Linked DNA regions of Rattus norvegicus. The protein of the gene in region 2 interacts with the protein of the main gene of each other region in a biochemical or structural test. Links are inferred from orthologs where the notes say so. Each region holds a gene or a part of one and is shown on either strand. Other genes may lie near its edges. The genes, in order: Ywhab and Cdc25b.

Region 1 (6,890 bases), about 34 Mb from region 2:
ACAACTAGGCATACTTCTGACTAGGTGAGATAGAAAGATCCACGTATTGACATGATCCTGTCCAGATATTTTATATGGAGAAGAGGGAATGTTTGTGTTTTCTCTACAGGATGCTACAAGAGTGTGCCAGCTGCCTGAGTGGCTGGTGAGACTTGCTGATCCTGGTTGCATGAAGATTCAGCTCTCCTGGTTCGGGTCCCTGGAGTCATTCCTCTGCCCTGAGAGGAAGATGGAAGATTTTCCCTCATCTTTTGTCATCACAGAGATTTTGGCGTTGCTGCAGTCAGTGTTACCACTGCATGTGTCCCGTCCCACTGTGGCCTGCTCTCTGACCCTCTGTGCACTGCTGCTTGCTGGAGAAGACTGGACTCCAGCTGTTATCCCTGCCCCCCTCATTTCCCTGGTGACTCTTGCTGCCTTAACTGGTGTTGTCATTTTGCAGTCTGTAGCTTCACAGGAATGCCATCTGCGTGAAACTGCTGTGGACTGGGGAACTCTGCCCTGGTTGTGCAGATCTCAGACATGGTTCCATTGCCTGCTGGTTGTTCCAGAAAAGAATGGCTGATCCTGAACTGTCCTGGGAAAGACCTTGTTATTTTCGCTGCTATTGTAGCAGCCATTTACTGCTGTAGCCATTGTGTCTGCAGTGTCTGGAGTTACCCTCCCCCCAATCTATTGTTAGGCAAGCACAGTGGGTGAACTTTCTGGAGTAGTTGCTAGAACCGGATGAGGTGCCCACTACTTATCGAGAGTGGCTCTGTTTGGTGCAGCCCTATGCTGTGGATTAGTGTTCATGCTATGGTTGGTTTGCAAACTCAGATCTCAACAGAAACGTGACAAGGTCGTTATCATTCAAGCACTTGTGGCCATTGAACAAGGGGCCTCCCCTGAAATTTGGTTATCTATGCTCAGGAATTAGTCGGTATCTGAGTTCTCTGCTCTTGCACCCCATGGATCTGTGGATCCATTGCACTGGGATGAGACTCAATGATTCTTTGATCAGCCCTTCTACATCGCTGAGGTTTCCTCATTGCACGCGATAGGGTGATCATGATTTCCCCACTAACTCATTTTCTGGCTGGCCTCTTTTGTAGAGTTCGCCCTAGGTTGTTTAGCAGTTACTGTCACACAGCACTGCAGTATCCAGAGACTGGCAACTTTCCTCATGCACAGACCAATCTAAGACACGGGGCCCGGTGGCGATAGGGTTACCCTACGACGGATAAGGCTGTGACATAGAGGAACGACCTAAGACAGGAGCCACAGCAGATGGACGTTACTGCAGGGACCTAGACCAGCCTCATATTAGTAAAACAATAAGGGGGAGATGTGGAGAGCCGCAAAAACATTCGCCACCACAAGATGGCGCTGACTTCCACTGTGCCCCACGTGGAAAGCCGGGATAGCTTTTGCCATTACAAGATGGCGCTGGCCTCCGCCGCGCCAGCTGACTTCCTTTCAGGAAGTTAACTGTGTGCGCATGTGCAAGAGTGTCTTTGTGCCAGGTCTTGGCCCACTCCGGGGCGTGCCTATGAGATCATGGGTAAGCGACCAATCAGGTGTGAATGCGCAGCGCTAGGGTGTATATAAGCCGTGCCATGCTGGCGACCCGGGCCCTCTCTTTAAGATACAATAAAAACGTTTTGCTGCAGAAGGAGTCGTGTGTCCCCGCGTGTTCTTGCTGGCGAGATAGCGCGGGACATGGATCCCAGGAAGAACACATTCAATTTGTACTTACTCCATCTGTTGTATTCACCTCATCCCTCCCTTTCTCCCACTTAATGCAAACAGTAGGTAACATCCATTCTTTCCACTCTTAATTCCTCCTTTACGAAGAGCAATTCTGGACTGGCAGTGTGGCCTCGGCCACTTGTCTTTACCTACAGAATGGGCCATGCAGTGGCCACTACTGCCTGCTTATAATCCTGACCCAGGGAAACCTTCAGAGACGCTAACATTCTTTCTTGTCCACCAGCTGCTTGCAGGGAGGGTGTATCACTTACCAGAAGACCCTATTACAGAGGCAAACAGCCACTTCCGGGTTTCATCAACACTCGGCTCAGTTGTTGTCTTGACACCTACTACCTACAGCTGGAGCTGTTCCTTCCAGACTCACCTTTGGTTTTGGTGAATGGAGCATTACAGGGTTTTTCCTAGGGAGATACAGTCCCATCTATTCACTCCAGATAGGGAAGATAATAGATACCGAAGAAAGGATTCCACCCACGTCCAGTTTGGCAAACCAGCTAAGTTTTATTGGGCTGCTGACAGAAAGGAGTATGGCGGGTTCTAAGGCAGCTGTATCACTGTTAAGTCCCCTGCACCTTGAGAGTGGCTATGCCACCAGCAGCGCTGCCATCTGTGCACGTTCAGCCAAGGTGCTTATGTAATCTTGTGACATGCCCTCCACCCCCTCGAAAAGAAAGGCAAGGGTCTTGCACAGGTGATCATGGCTGCTCTAATTCAAGCCGGCAGTTACCACAGATGGCCATCTAAGACATCTCTACCGCTGGTTCTAAAGGGTAAAGAAAAACTATTTACTCTTTAAAGAGAGGGTGGTGACACATCAATCCACAGGCAACTAACTGATAAGATGTTTTATTTCACTTTTGAGTTTTTACATCGTCCTGATTACTCTGTGTAAGGAGAAACTAGAATGTTTAAAAGACATACACGGATCTAGCACATCAGTAACTGGGGGTGGGGAGGGGGTCTTTTTCTTTTTGCTATACTATTTTCACAACCACAGGTGTGCTTGCTAGGCAAAGAACCACCACGGAAGCAAACATTAGGCAGAATACTGGTAAGGAAAGAAAACAGAGCGAAGAGCTACCAGATACAGACAGGCTTGGTCCACACTCGCTGCTGCTTGTCAAGCGCCGAGTATTAACTGCACGTTTTCTGTTCAGCTAGAAAGAAGAAATTTTTTTGTGGGTTTTTTGTTTTTGTTTAAATCAGTGCATGAATTCTTTTCATATTTCAGCAGATGGACAAACGGATGAACTCTACAGCTATGGGTACACGGAATGTCAAGGTAGAGGGGTGATACTGTGAGACTGAAGGCCTGGCTGTTCTTGGTTCTCTCTACTGTAGTGTCCATGCAACTTCCCTGTGTTCTAAGTCTTCTTGAGGCGTGTCTGAGGACGAAGCTGGATGAGTCCACTGGAGGGAGGGTCTGTCACAGGCACAGACAAAGCACTGTCAGGGCTGGGTGCAATGGGGGAAATCACAAATACTTAAAAGTCCTTTATTTTTTCCCGATTTGGGTCATACTATGAAGAACAACTGTGCTGAGACCTGGAGGGAGACAGGGTGTGGTGCTGGAAGGTCTTTCTCAACCTTTAAAGCACAGCTCTCACCATGTGCTCAATGCCCCGCCCTGTCCACACAGTACTGACTAATAAAGGCTTCCCAAGAAAACCACCCAAGGAAGCAGAAAGCTGTACATTTAAAGAGGAAAAAGTCAAAAGTCAAAAGGACAGGGTGAGAAGAATGTTACGTGTCACAGCTCCCACCCCAAGGCTAGGAATGCTCCTCAGGCAAGAGGCCGCATCCACAGAACATTGAAGAATCATCCAAAAAACTGGTATGGCCGTTTATATGATACACTACTTTCTCTCTCTTTCCCCTCTCCTTCAGCTAGGGGGTAACAGCCCCGTTTTCACATGGAGCTAATCAGGAACACGTTGCTATAATAAAAAGGTTTAGTCACACATGTGGTATGAACACGGGACCTTTTTGTGGTGTTACAGCCCAATTATCAGCCAAAGAAGTTCACTTTCAGGTTTTGAATTTCCTCAGAAGACACTGCAGATATTTGCGGTCATGAACTTTTGAGTGGTAACAGCCCAAAGTGATCAAGGGTTAACAGGCCCTCAACCACAGGCAGAATTACTGTGAGTTACCACACTCAGGATGCCAAGGGTAAGCATCTCGCCCAAGTCCCAGCATCACAAGAGAATCTCTAGAACTTTCTGTACAACTTTACAACAGAATTGTATTTCAGTGACCATTTTGATATCAGATTAAACTTTCCAAAAAGTTACACATAATTCAGGTCAATTTTTCCTACCAGGAAGAGCTCTGCTAAGTTATAAAGCCCTGTAATCACAGTGTTCAGTTTGTAAAAATTAAACACACAGTAATCCTTGTCAATGTTGATCAAATCAAGACTTCAAAATACCATGGCATTTAAGGGACCAGTCTGAGTTTTAGATACAAATACCAGCTGTTCATCCCAGGGACCGTTTCTGCAAGGCTTAGGCTGTGAAAGATCGAAAGTCCACATTGGATTTTTTTTGTTTTTGTTTATCGCACAAAGGGACATAATGTGGAGGATACAGTGACACCAAACAGATCACAGAGCTCAATAGACATTAGTTCTCTCCCTCTCCAGCATCTCCTTCATCCCCCTGGTTTTCTGACGTCCACAGCTGCAAAAGGAAAAGAAAGAAAAGGCTGTAATAAAATCAAGATCATTAAAAGCTTTCTTCAAGAGATTGCCTAGTATATTTTACCTCATTTAACTACCATTTTGCAAAAAACTAAAATGTTTTTCCTGTATGGGTGTTGTGCCTGCACGTTTGTCTGTGTGCCTTTTGCATGCCTACTGTCCTAGGACGCCAGAGGAGGGCACTACATCCCCTAGAACTGAAGTTACAGATGGCTGTGGGCTGCAATGGGAAGGTGTGGTTCCTTCGGAAGAACAGGCTGAGAACCACTGAGCTATGGTTCCAGGTCCCACATTCAACAACTCGAAATTCCCTCTGACCACAGACAATGACTGAAAAGGCATAACGTTCAGCAGTAAGATGTAGGTAACTTGAGAATGTAAAACTGTACTTGACAGAGTAGAGAGCCATCTTAAATCTTGGCTAACAGTGGACTAAGGAGCTATCTGCTCTCCGAAGGTACTTACGGTGAGATTGTCCCTTAGCAGCTGCATGATCAGGGTGCTGTCTTTGTAAGACTCTTCATTCAGGGTGTCCAACTCAGCAATGGCTTCATCAAACGCCTACAACAAAGGGTGTTAGCAAAGATCTGGGCGCTCTTTGTGTTAGCGCTACCTGTCCTGCTGGTGAGACCTGTCTGCGCTCAACTGTCTGCCACCTATTCAAATGTACACCCCCCCCACATATTCTCATTCTCTCTCTCTCTCTCTCTCTCTCTCTCACACACACACACACACACACACACACACACACACACACACACACACACACACTACCAGTCAGCAATGATAAACCCCCCAAAAAAGTTATGTTAACCGTAGCACATTTAATCTAAAAATTCACTCAGGTTTTTAATTATCAAAGTGGCTTCTATTTTTTGTTTAAACTAAAAAGGTCTGGACACAAAGGTCAAAGGGGAGAACAGGTAAGCTCACTTCACTAAGCTTGATTTGTCTCCCGGGCTCACTTTGTAGAATCCACTTCAGGCACTCTTTTCAAATTAAAGTTTCAAATAACAGTGTGCACCAGAAAGCAAGCTTCTCAGAGAACACAGGAAGTGATAATACAGCACAAACAAAGTGGGGCTCCTTCTTTCATGGGGTCCTATCTTGGAACAAAGGTGACAATGTCCAAAGCCTGAAGAGAGCCCCTACTTTTTACCTGGAAGGTTCTACCAATGACCCCAACAGTAACCAGACAATATATTCAGAGCAAAGTGCCAAATAAGAGGTGTGCATGGATTTCCTAAAACCCCACTCCCTAGAAAATGCGTCCAAGTCTAGATGGTGAGGATGCTCACAAACAGAAGGAAGTTCTTGGAATTAGCAATGCGTCTTTGCTCACCGTTTTGGCCAGGCTACAGGCCTTTTCAGGAGAGTTTAGAATCTCATAGTAAAAGACTGAGAAATTCAGAGCCAGGCCAAGGCGAATCGGGTGTGTAGGCTGCATTTCTTTCTTGCTGATTTCAAATGCTTCTTGGTACGCCTGCTGGGAGTTTGACACAGTGGCTGGAAGGAAGATAAAAATGTTAGTGTCTCGCACATGGGATCCATATCCAAGACACTTTAGTAAAAGAAGCTAAAGCAAGCAACCCATCAAAACAAAGGTCCACGTCTTCACCATTCAACCTAACATCTGCTAAATGTTTATGCTAAGTACTGTATTAAAGGCTTTGGAAGAAAACAGTTATAATGAAGTCTATTAAAGCAGCCAAGAATATAGACACAGCCCTTCATAAGAATGAATGTGGATAATCTAGTGAAAAAAAAAAAAAGATGGGGTTTAAGATAGGCATAAACAGGTTGGGGATTTAGCTCAGCGGTAGAGCACTTGCCTAGCAAGCGCAAGGCCCTGGGTTTGGTCCCCAGCTCCGAAAAAAAGAAAAAAAAAAAAAAGAAAAAAGATAGGCATAAACAAATTCAAATTCTCAACTCACTTGTATGTGGCCTGGAGCAAGTAAAAACATCTAAATTCGAACTCTGGTTTCTTTTATTGGAAAACATGGGAGACTCTCACCTAAATTCAAAGTGCTAAGAGGATAACACAACCCTAATTACTTAGCACACAGTGAACACTGAATAAAATAAAACAGCTATAATCACTTCACAGTAAGCCATGGGCGGAAAGGAAGGCACTCCCCTATGGTGGTCTCACACAGGTCTCCCTTATCTGTGGATGCCTGACACTAGACAGTACTGAAACCCATCAGACATACTCAGACAGGAAATCACCAGGACAGTTTTAACAATACACTGTAATGTAGTCTGCAGTTCAGAAACTAGCAAGTCACTTGAACACAAGGAGTACCACACTTGCATAGTCAATCAAGTAACCAATATGGCAACCAGGTGCTGGCCAGGTGACTAGTGCATGCAGTGTTACTTGGGGTAAAATTTAGACTCACTCATCTTTGGAATCTTACATTTAGATTTCAGACTA
Region 2 (7,521 bases):
GAGGCAGCCTGGAATTGTAAAGGCTGCTGTGAATGAAAAGCAGGCCCAGAGAAAGGCAGTGATGGAGACAGCTGGGGCAGGTCACAGGGTCATTAAGACATCACCAAGGCAACAGTCTCGCCAGCCTGCACACACAAGCACAGGCCTTCCACCTGTATGCAAATTACATTACTGGGGCCATATGGCCACCATGAAAGGCATTGATCCATCCCAGACAACAGGCTGAAGGTACCCTGTAATATAGGTGACCCTGGGGGTGGATGCCAGCAATGCTGGGTTTCCCTTTCTGCTAGCCACTGGCCTGGCTCCCTGGACAGGGGCTGCTTTGGTGATTTTTCTGGATCAGCCCAGCAGACCCTTTAGTGACAAGTATACAGGGTTACATTCTCTCCTCCCTCCTATGGAATTTTCTAAGACCCAACCTCTGTTCCACCCCCTCCTTCTGTCTTAGAAGAGGCCAGCCAGCAAGGAATTCCAACAGATGCTCCATTTGAGGCTGAAGCGTCAACTTCTACATACAGGCCCTGCCTTCCAATGTTGCTGGAGCACCTGTCATGTGGAGCTTAACACACACACACACACACACACACACACACACACACACACACACACACGTACACCCCAGCTTCTTTCTGAGAAGCTGTAAATAGTCAAAAGTAAGTGCAGACTAACTGGAGAGGCACTTAGTGTCCAAGTGACCCTCAGAGAGGCCTGTGTGCAATCAACCTGGCATCATTTGTAGCTGGGCCTCAGGGGTGAGGGATCTATCTGTGTTGTCGCTAAAAAACAACGTACACTCCTCCCATCCCCACCCAACTCTCGATTTCCTGTTTGTGAATAAACCTTGAGACCAGCACAGTCTGATCAAAGACATCAGGGGGAAATAGTAACCCCCGCCCTAAACCAAAAGCTGTGACTGGCAATGCCCAGCTGTTCCTCCTAATGACTGACAGCTACTCCACAGCTGGATGGGAACAGGTGTGCTCTACAAGGCTCTATTGTGCCACAGCCAAGGAGGAGGAGTCTGCTCACAGCAAAGACCAGCTTTCTCCTCTCCATTCCCTGTTGCAAAGGGTCTGGTCAAGGGTCAGCCAAAAGCACCAAGTGTCAGGGAAAACTGGGAGCTGCTGATGAGCCAGGCCAGTCTGCAAATGCAATTTTTGTTTGGCCTCGGTTGGCCTTGAACTGCCTATCTTTCTGTCTGATCTTCCAGAGTGTTGGGCCACCACACCCAACAGGACCATATTTTTTTTCTTTTTTTTTTGGAGCTGGGGACCGAACTCAGGGCCTTGCGCTTGCTAGGCGAGCGCTCTACCACTGAGCTAAATCCCCAACCCCAGGACCATATTTTTAAGTTTGAAAAAAATGTTACATGTACAAAAAAATGTATACAGGAGAAAAAGAAAAGTGGGAACATGAGGGGCATTGTTTTTCTGAATGACAATGTTAGCTGGACTAATATTGGAGTATACTTTCCCAGAGGCCATTGTTCCTGTGACCTGTGGTCCTGAGCCCACGTTCCTCTGGTTTCTATGGTATCAGGCCTTCTCTGAATAAGGAGCCAATTCTTAAGACTTAGGAAGAAACCAACCCCTCGCAATGGGGATCCTGAGGAACCTGCCTATTATTTGGTTTCCCTTTCTTAAGCAGGATACTGGGGGCTGGAGAGATGGCTCAGTGACGAAGAGTATTTGTTATTCTTGCAGAGGACCTGAGTTCAGTACCCAGCACCCACATATGGCAACTCACGACAGCCTGGAATTCTAGCTCTAAGTGTTCCAAGGCCCTCTCTGACCGCTATAGGACAACACGCTTACACGCACATATCCCCATGTAGAAAACCATATAACACATAATTAAAAACACATTAAAGAAAGATCAGTCCTCAAGGGCAGGTGCCAAGTCCTCAGTGGAAGGACTCCTCCCCCTCTACTCACGTGCGCTCTGCTGTCTGTGGGTCCATAGGGCTAGGGGAGTCCATGCAGAGACCTGGTGGGACAGAGCACCTTGGCTTGCAGGTAGCAGCCTTTCCTGCTTACTTTTTCCCCAAGAAAGGGAAAAGAAACCTCTTTCTCTTTGAGATCAAGGCATACTTTAATGGGACACTGCCCCCATAGGACGAGGGGCTACATTCTCTATTTACTATGGGAAACGTATCTGCACTTTTTTGTTTTATTTATTTATTTTTTAGTGCTTTCTAAGCATTTTTCTTAAGCTGGTTTAAAACAACTTGGAAAAGATAATGGTTTTCTAAGGAGAAAAGGCTACAGCTTAAGAGAATGCTTCACAAGGACAGGCTTTTGGTACCAAGTGCTGTCTGGGTGGAGCTGTAGTTCAGTGGCTTTACCGCTAGGTTTCAAATAAGTAAGATACCATCTCCTACCAAGAGTCGTCCTTCCCCAGACTCCCAGTTTAGGCTGGGTGTGGTAAGACCCACCAGAGGTTTGTTTGCTTCATAGTTTTGAAGGCAAGCTGGGGGATGATTCTGTGGAAAGGACCGGGATCTATCTCATGGGCAGAGAATTTAGAAGGTCCAGAAAGTTCCCTGATCTCTTTTGGTGGTGGTGGTGGTGGTGGTGGTGGTGTGTGTACCCCCACTACGGGCCCTGGGCCTTACCTGCATCAGAAGATTCTGAGGACTCAGATGACAGGGAGCACTCAGAGGTACGTCTGGACAGGGACAGGTCTGTCAGCCTGTTCTGGAACGACAGGCTTCCTACTTGAGTTTTTGGGGTCTCGCTAGGAAAGGAGAAAGAGGCACAGAGGAGGAGAAAAAGAAATTAATGTTGGATTTGGAAGCTGGTCAGCCCATGCTCCCATGAATTCCCCAACTATGAAGGGCCCATCTATCTGTCACTGAGAGGTGATCCTAGAACTAGCCTGTATCTCAAGTCAAAGCATTTCATTCTACTGAGGCCCGAGAGGGTCTTCTCTGCGTTGACTGGTTCAGGAAAGACCCTTCTAAGTGTCTGGAAGAGTGAGAAGGATGGGCAGGAGACAGCCCAGAAGCTCTGGAGAACCTTCTCCTGCTGGGCACATCCTCACCTCGCCAGCATTTCCCAGGAGGCAAAGGCTAAGCAAGACCCGGCTCTCTGCTGCAGCTGGACCGACCACCCAGCTGGGACCCCACAGGTTAAGGAGGTGGCCCGTCTTTTTTCAGTTTAAGCCTTAGGGGAGTAGGTGAGATATTTTCAAAGAGCAGGGCGCAGCCTTTTAAGACCCACTTCTAGGCCAACCTCATGATCCTCTGCCTAAGAACAGTGTGCAGGAGGCACAATGAAGGAGCAGTGAGGTAAATGATCCTTAGACGGCCAGTCATCTGGAGGGTGTAAGTCGCATAGCTTCTGACTCAGCACACTGGTCCCATGTCACTGAAACAAGGCTAAAGGCGTCGGTGTGCTGCACTCCGTGGCTCTGGTGCCTAGTGTCTCCTGGTCCCGGCCTCCCATCCCACCACACCCAGTGCCCTTGGGGCATCCTACCTGCCGAGCCCTGCGAGGTTGTACATGGTCTGGGTAAGAGTGGTAACCGGAGAGGAGGAAGCCGCACGCTCTGGAGACCCCAGCAAGCCATCAGACCCAAACCCAAAGCCTGAGAGGTGGCGCGGCCGCTGAATGCCACCCAGCACGCGGGCAGTACTGAGAGCTGAGCCCGGCGCAGACTTCTGCGGGGGTACCTCCATGGTGGCGGGGCGGGCAAAGGCTAGCTAGAGGGCCACAAGTACAGCGGCCAGCAGACGCCGACCCAGATGGCTAGGCTCCGAGAGTGAGCCTGGGGTAAGGGGAAGGAGGGAGGGGAGGGAGGGAGGAAGAGCAGTGGGCCTGGGAGTGAGGAGAGGGATGTGGGGAGGAAGGGAGGGGAAGACGCGAGCTGGGCAGCTGCCACCTCCACCTCCTTATATATTCGAAAAATAACAGCGGCAGCGCCGCCAGACGCCACCAATGGGGGCGCCGGTTCCGGGAGGGCGGGACCAAGGGCGGGGCGCTGGTGGCTTGGGCTGAGGCTGGACCAGCTACTTCTGCCGGCTTGGCTTCTTAGGGTGGGTGACTCAGGGAGTTGGGTTAACCCCCTGTTCCACACATACCCTCCGCTCCCTTTGACACGAGAATCCTGGTCTCCAGGATATTGCCTCATGGGACAGGGTTTGGAGGTACATAACCTCAGAAGGAGTAGCCATCACTTAGGGTGGCCTCGTAAGGAGCCCTCGACGTTTACCATCAGTGCACGGTCACCGGTAAGGGTCGGTGCTACACTCTGCTTGAGCCTAGGACGTTTGCCAAGTTTGCTGTGAGCTCTGCGTTCCCTGTCCGGTTTACAGACCGAGCGTTGAAAAGTTCCGTGACTCGTTTAAGGTCACGGGTTTGGTTGAATGGCGGAGACGAAGATGCACCCTCCCGGGCTCCTCTGATCCTGCAGCCTCCCTGTCAACGCCCCTAGGCCGCAGAGAGCAGCTGCAGTCATTCAACCGCGGCGCTTTGCGAGGCACAGAGGAACTGCCTCACTGAGCTAAGCCCAATAGTCTCCCCTATAACCCCTGAGAATTAAACGTTTAGATTTACGCAATGATTTCTGCAGCAGGCAGTTGGGAGCAGCCAGAGAACCCAGTAAGGGAAGAATCTCACACCCACTATGGCTTGGCTAATTTGGGGTTAATAGCACCATAGTGTTTCTTTGAAAGTAAAAGAGGCTGAATTTGCTATTAGTTTACAATGAGCGTTTTCTAACGATCTAATCACCTTGCAGGCGAGAGTCTGTTTTCCTGGAATGAGCTGGGAAGGACCTAGTAAGTAGTTGGGAACTTTTTCAAATTCCCCAGTGAGGGTGTGGCTTCTGGGACGGTCATGGGGTGCAGTATAGGATCTAGGAGCTGAGAGCAGCCTTGAACACCTGCCTTTGCTATTTTAACCACCACCCTAGGCCCACCAGGTAAGAATGGCAAAGGGGTAACTAAGGGTAGGGATAGAGTCTAAGAGGTTCAGCTGTGAATAAAGGAGGACACTAGACACACCTGAGTGGAGTGCCCGAGGTAGGAACCACGACCTGACCACTTTTTTCTTTCAACATTTTGCCCAGTTCCTGTGGTATGTCAGGAACTTATATACTGCTACTGGGGACCCATTTCTTATTCCAGTCATAAGTCAAGACCTTAGTGCCAGGACCAGGAGAGAAATGTGTCCCCACATGGCCTTCCATTCCAAAGACCTGAAATAAAATTGCTCCAAGGAGTATATTTTCAAAACCAACATAGCTGGTTTCCCTCAACCTGCATCTCAGCTCACACACTGTTTGGGGTGAGGAGGAGCCATGCTGTGTTGAGTTTTGATCACTTGAATCTCATGAAGTTCCACAACTGAAAGGTTCTCCTTGTCCCAGTGGAGGAGAGAGATGTCCTTTCCACGGCAACTGACACCCACTCACACCCTCCTGAACCTCACTTTTCCACTTAGATCATAAAATACATACTCAACTAAAACAACAAATTGCTCTTAGAGATTGAAGGCCACCCAGAGACTGTCCCACCTGGAGATCCATCCCATCTGCAGACACCAAACCCAGACACTACTGCTGATGCCGAGAAGTGCTTGCTGACAGCCTGATACAGTTATTTTCTGAGAGGCTCTACCAGATCCTGACCAATACAGATGCTGATGCTCAAAGCCAACCATTGGACTGATCACAGGGACCCCAATAGAGGAGTTAGGGGAAGGACGAAGGAGCGAAAGGGGCCTTATCTGGCATCAATGGGAGGGGTGGCTTGGGTCCTATGAAGGCTTGATGTTCCAGTGTAGAGGAATGCTAAGGCAGTGAGGTGGGAGTGGAAGGGTAGGTGAGTGGGAGGAGCACCCTCATAGAAGCAGGGGTAGGGGGGTATGATAGGGGGTTTACACAGGGGAAACTGGGAAAGGGGATAATCTTTGAAATGTAAATAAATAAAATATCCAATTAAAAATTTGCTCTTTTTTGAGATTAGGAAGAGGAGTGCTATATTATGTAAACCTGGCTGGCTTCTGACTCTGTGTGTAGAGCAAGCTGGCTTCAACTTTATGGTGACTGGGCTGTTTTTGATTCCTGAGTGTTGGGAATTTCAGGCATGGAGTGCCACTGCCCGCAGGTTAAAAATCTCACGGTGCAGCCCGCAGAGTTTTATGTCACAGGCGCTTTGCCTGTGTGTGCACCATTTGCCTGCTTGGTGCCTGTGCAGGACAGAAGAGGACTTCAGATCCCCTGAAACAGAGGGTTGTGAGCTGCAATGTGGGTGCTGGGAGTCAAACCTGGGTCCTCTACAAGAGCAGGCAGTGTTATTAACCTAGAGCCATCTCTCCAGGGCCTTTTTAGGAACGGTGTTTCCTCTACTAGTCCCCCAACACACACCTTTTTTTTTTTTTCCATAGGTGTGACATGTTAAATTTTTGTGCCACTAAAACCTCAAAGAACAACATCTTATGATACAAAAGACAGCCCCACCCCTAAATCTTCAGAAACAGCACTGTGAGAAATTTCTTGTATCACCTCCTGAAGATGATTCATATTTAGCCAAAGGAAGCATGGTGGCAGACGCGCATGGCGGCCACAAACAGAATTAAAGATTCCTTAGTAGCCACGTTCAAAAAGCAAAAGGGAAGCTAACCTCAGTCCTGTACTCTGTCAACTTACGGAGGAGGAGTGAGGAAAGAGGATCAGTGACAGTTTGAGGCCAGCCTAGGCTGTAGAGTGAGAGCCTGTCACAAACAAACAACCCCAAAGTACTACCAACAAAAATAGAAAAGGGTCTGAGGTGTGTCTCAGGGGCAGACCATTTGCCTAGCATATGCAAAGGCCTGGTTTCTGGCATCTGCTCATAACACAGCAAAAATATAAATAAATGCGGTAAGGATAGTAAGTTTTATATTTTAATTTTAGTATTGTATTTAATCTAATATACTAAAAGTATTACTGTGCTGGTTAGTTTTTTGTCAACTTGACACAAACTAGAGTCTTCTGGGGAGAGGAAACAAGAACCAGCTTTAGGCAAGCCTAAGGCTTAAACAGCATTTTATAGTAAAGACAAACTAGGTTTATTCTTGTTTATGACTAAGCCTCTGCTTCTCAAGGATTGGGCTATACCCCACCATAACCTTACCTACCAATGGCTCTGTGCTGCCTGTTCCAGGAATGGCGATCGTGTCCCTGTTTCAAACAGTTAGGACCATCTTGCAACCCTACCTTTGTTTTAAAGATTACTTGACCACTTATGACTACCAGTTGTTTTGACTACTTTATAATGCCCATCTTGCAACCATGTATTTGTTTTAGAAGGTCATTAGGAATAACTTGAGTTTGTGTTCTACTCCTGTAACCTCATCTATTCTGCCCACCAAACCTCCCATTGGAAACACCTACCCCTGAGCTATAAAGCCTTGTCTTCCTCACATCCAATGCTGACCTCTTAAGCCCCACCTTAGAGGGAGGCAGCCTTTGTGCAGACTAGAAAAGCTTTCTTTAAGTAAGTGCTTGCTTTAATTAATTTGGCCATGATGATTT

The links.
Region 1: the proteins of Cdc25b (region 2) and Ywhab form a complex in vitro, tested with the Homo sapiens proteins (2 studies listed by BioGRID). The link is inferred for Rattus norvegicus from reciprocal best matches to the Homo sapiens genes CDC25B and YWHAB.

Annotation. Positions count from the first base shown.
Region 1 is NC_086021.1:173,097,201-173,104,090, reverse strand, and holds the end of Ywhab (14-3-3 protein beta/alpha), read right to left. Parts: intron 5,960-6,890; coding exon 5,796-5,959; intron 5,015-5,795; coding exon 4,919-5,014; intron 4,434-4,918; coding exon 4,377-4,433; 3' UTR 2,583-4,376; downstream 1-2,582. UniProt on the Homo sapiens protein: Adapter protein implicated in the regulation of a large spectrum of both general and specialized signaling pathways. Binds to a large number of partners, usually by recognition of a phosphoserine or phosphothreonine motif.
Region 2 is NC_086021.1:138,856,524-138,864,044, reverse strand, and holds the start of Cdc25b (M-phase inducer phosphatase 2), read right to left. Parts: upstream 3,873-7,521; 5' UTR 3,683-3,872; coding exon 3,483-3,682; intron 2,740-3,482; coding exon 2,618-2,739; intron 1,990-2,617; coding exon 1,938-1,989; intron 1-1,937. UniProt on the Homo sapiens protein: Tyrosine protein phosphatase which functions as a dosage-dependent inducer of mitotic progression. Directly dephosphorylates CDK1 and stimulates its kinase activity.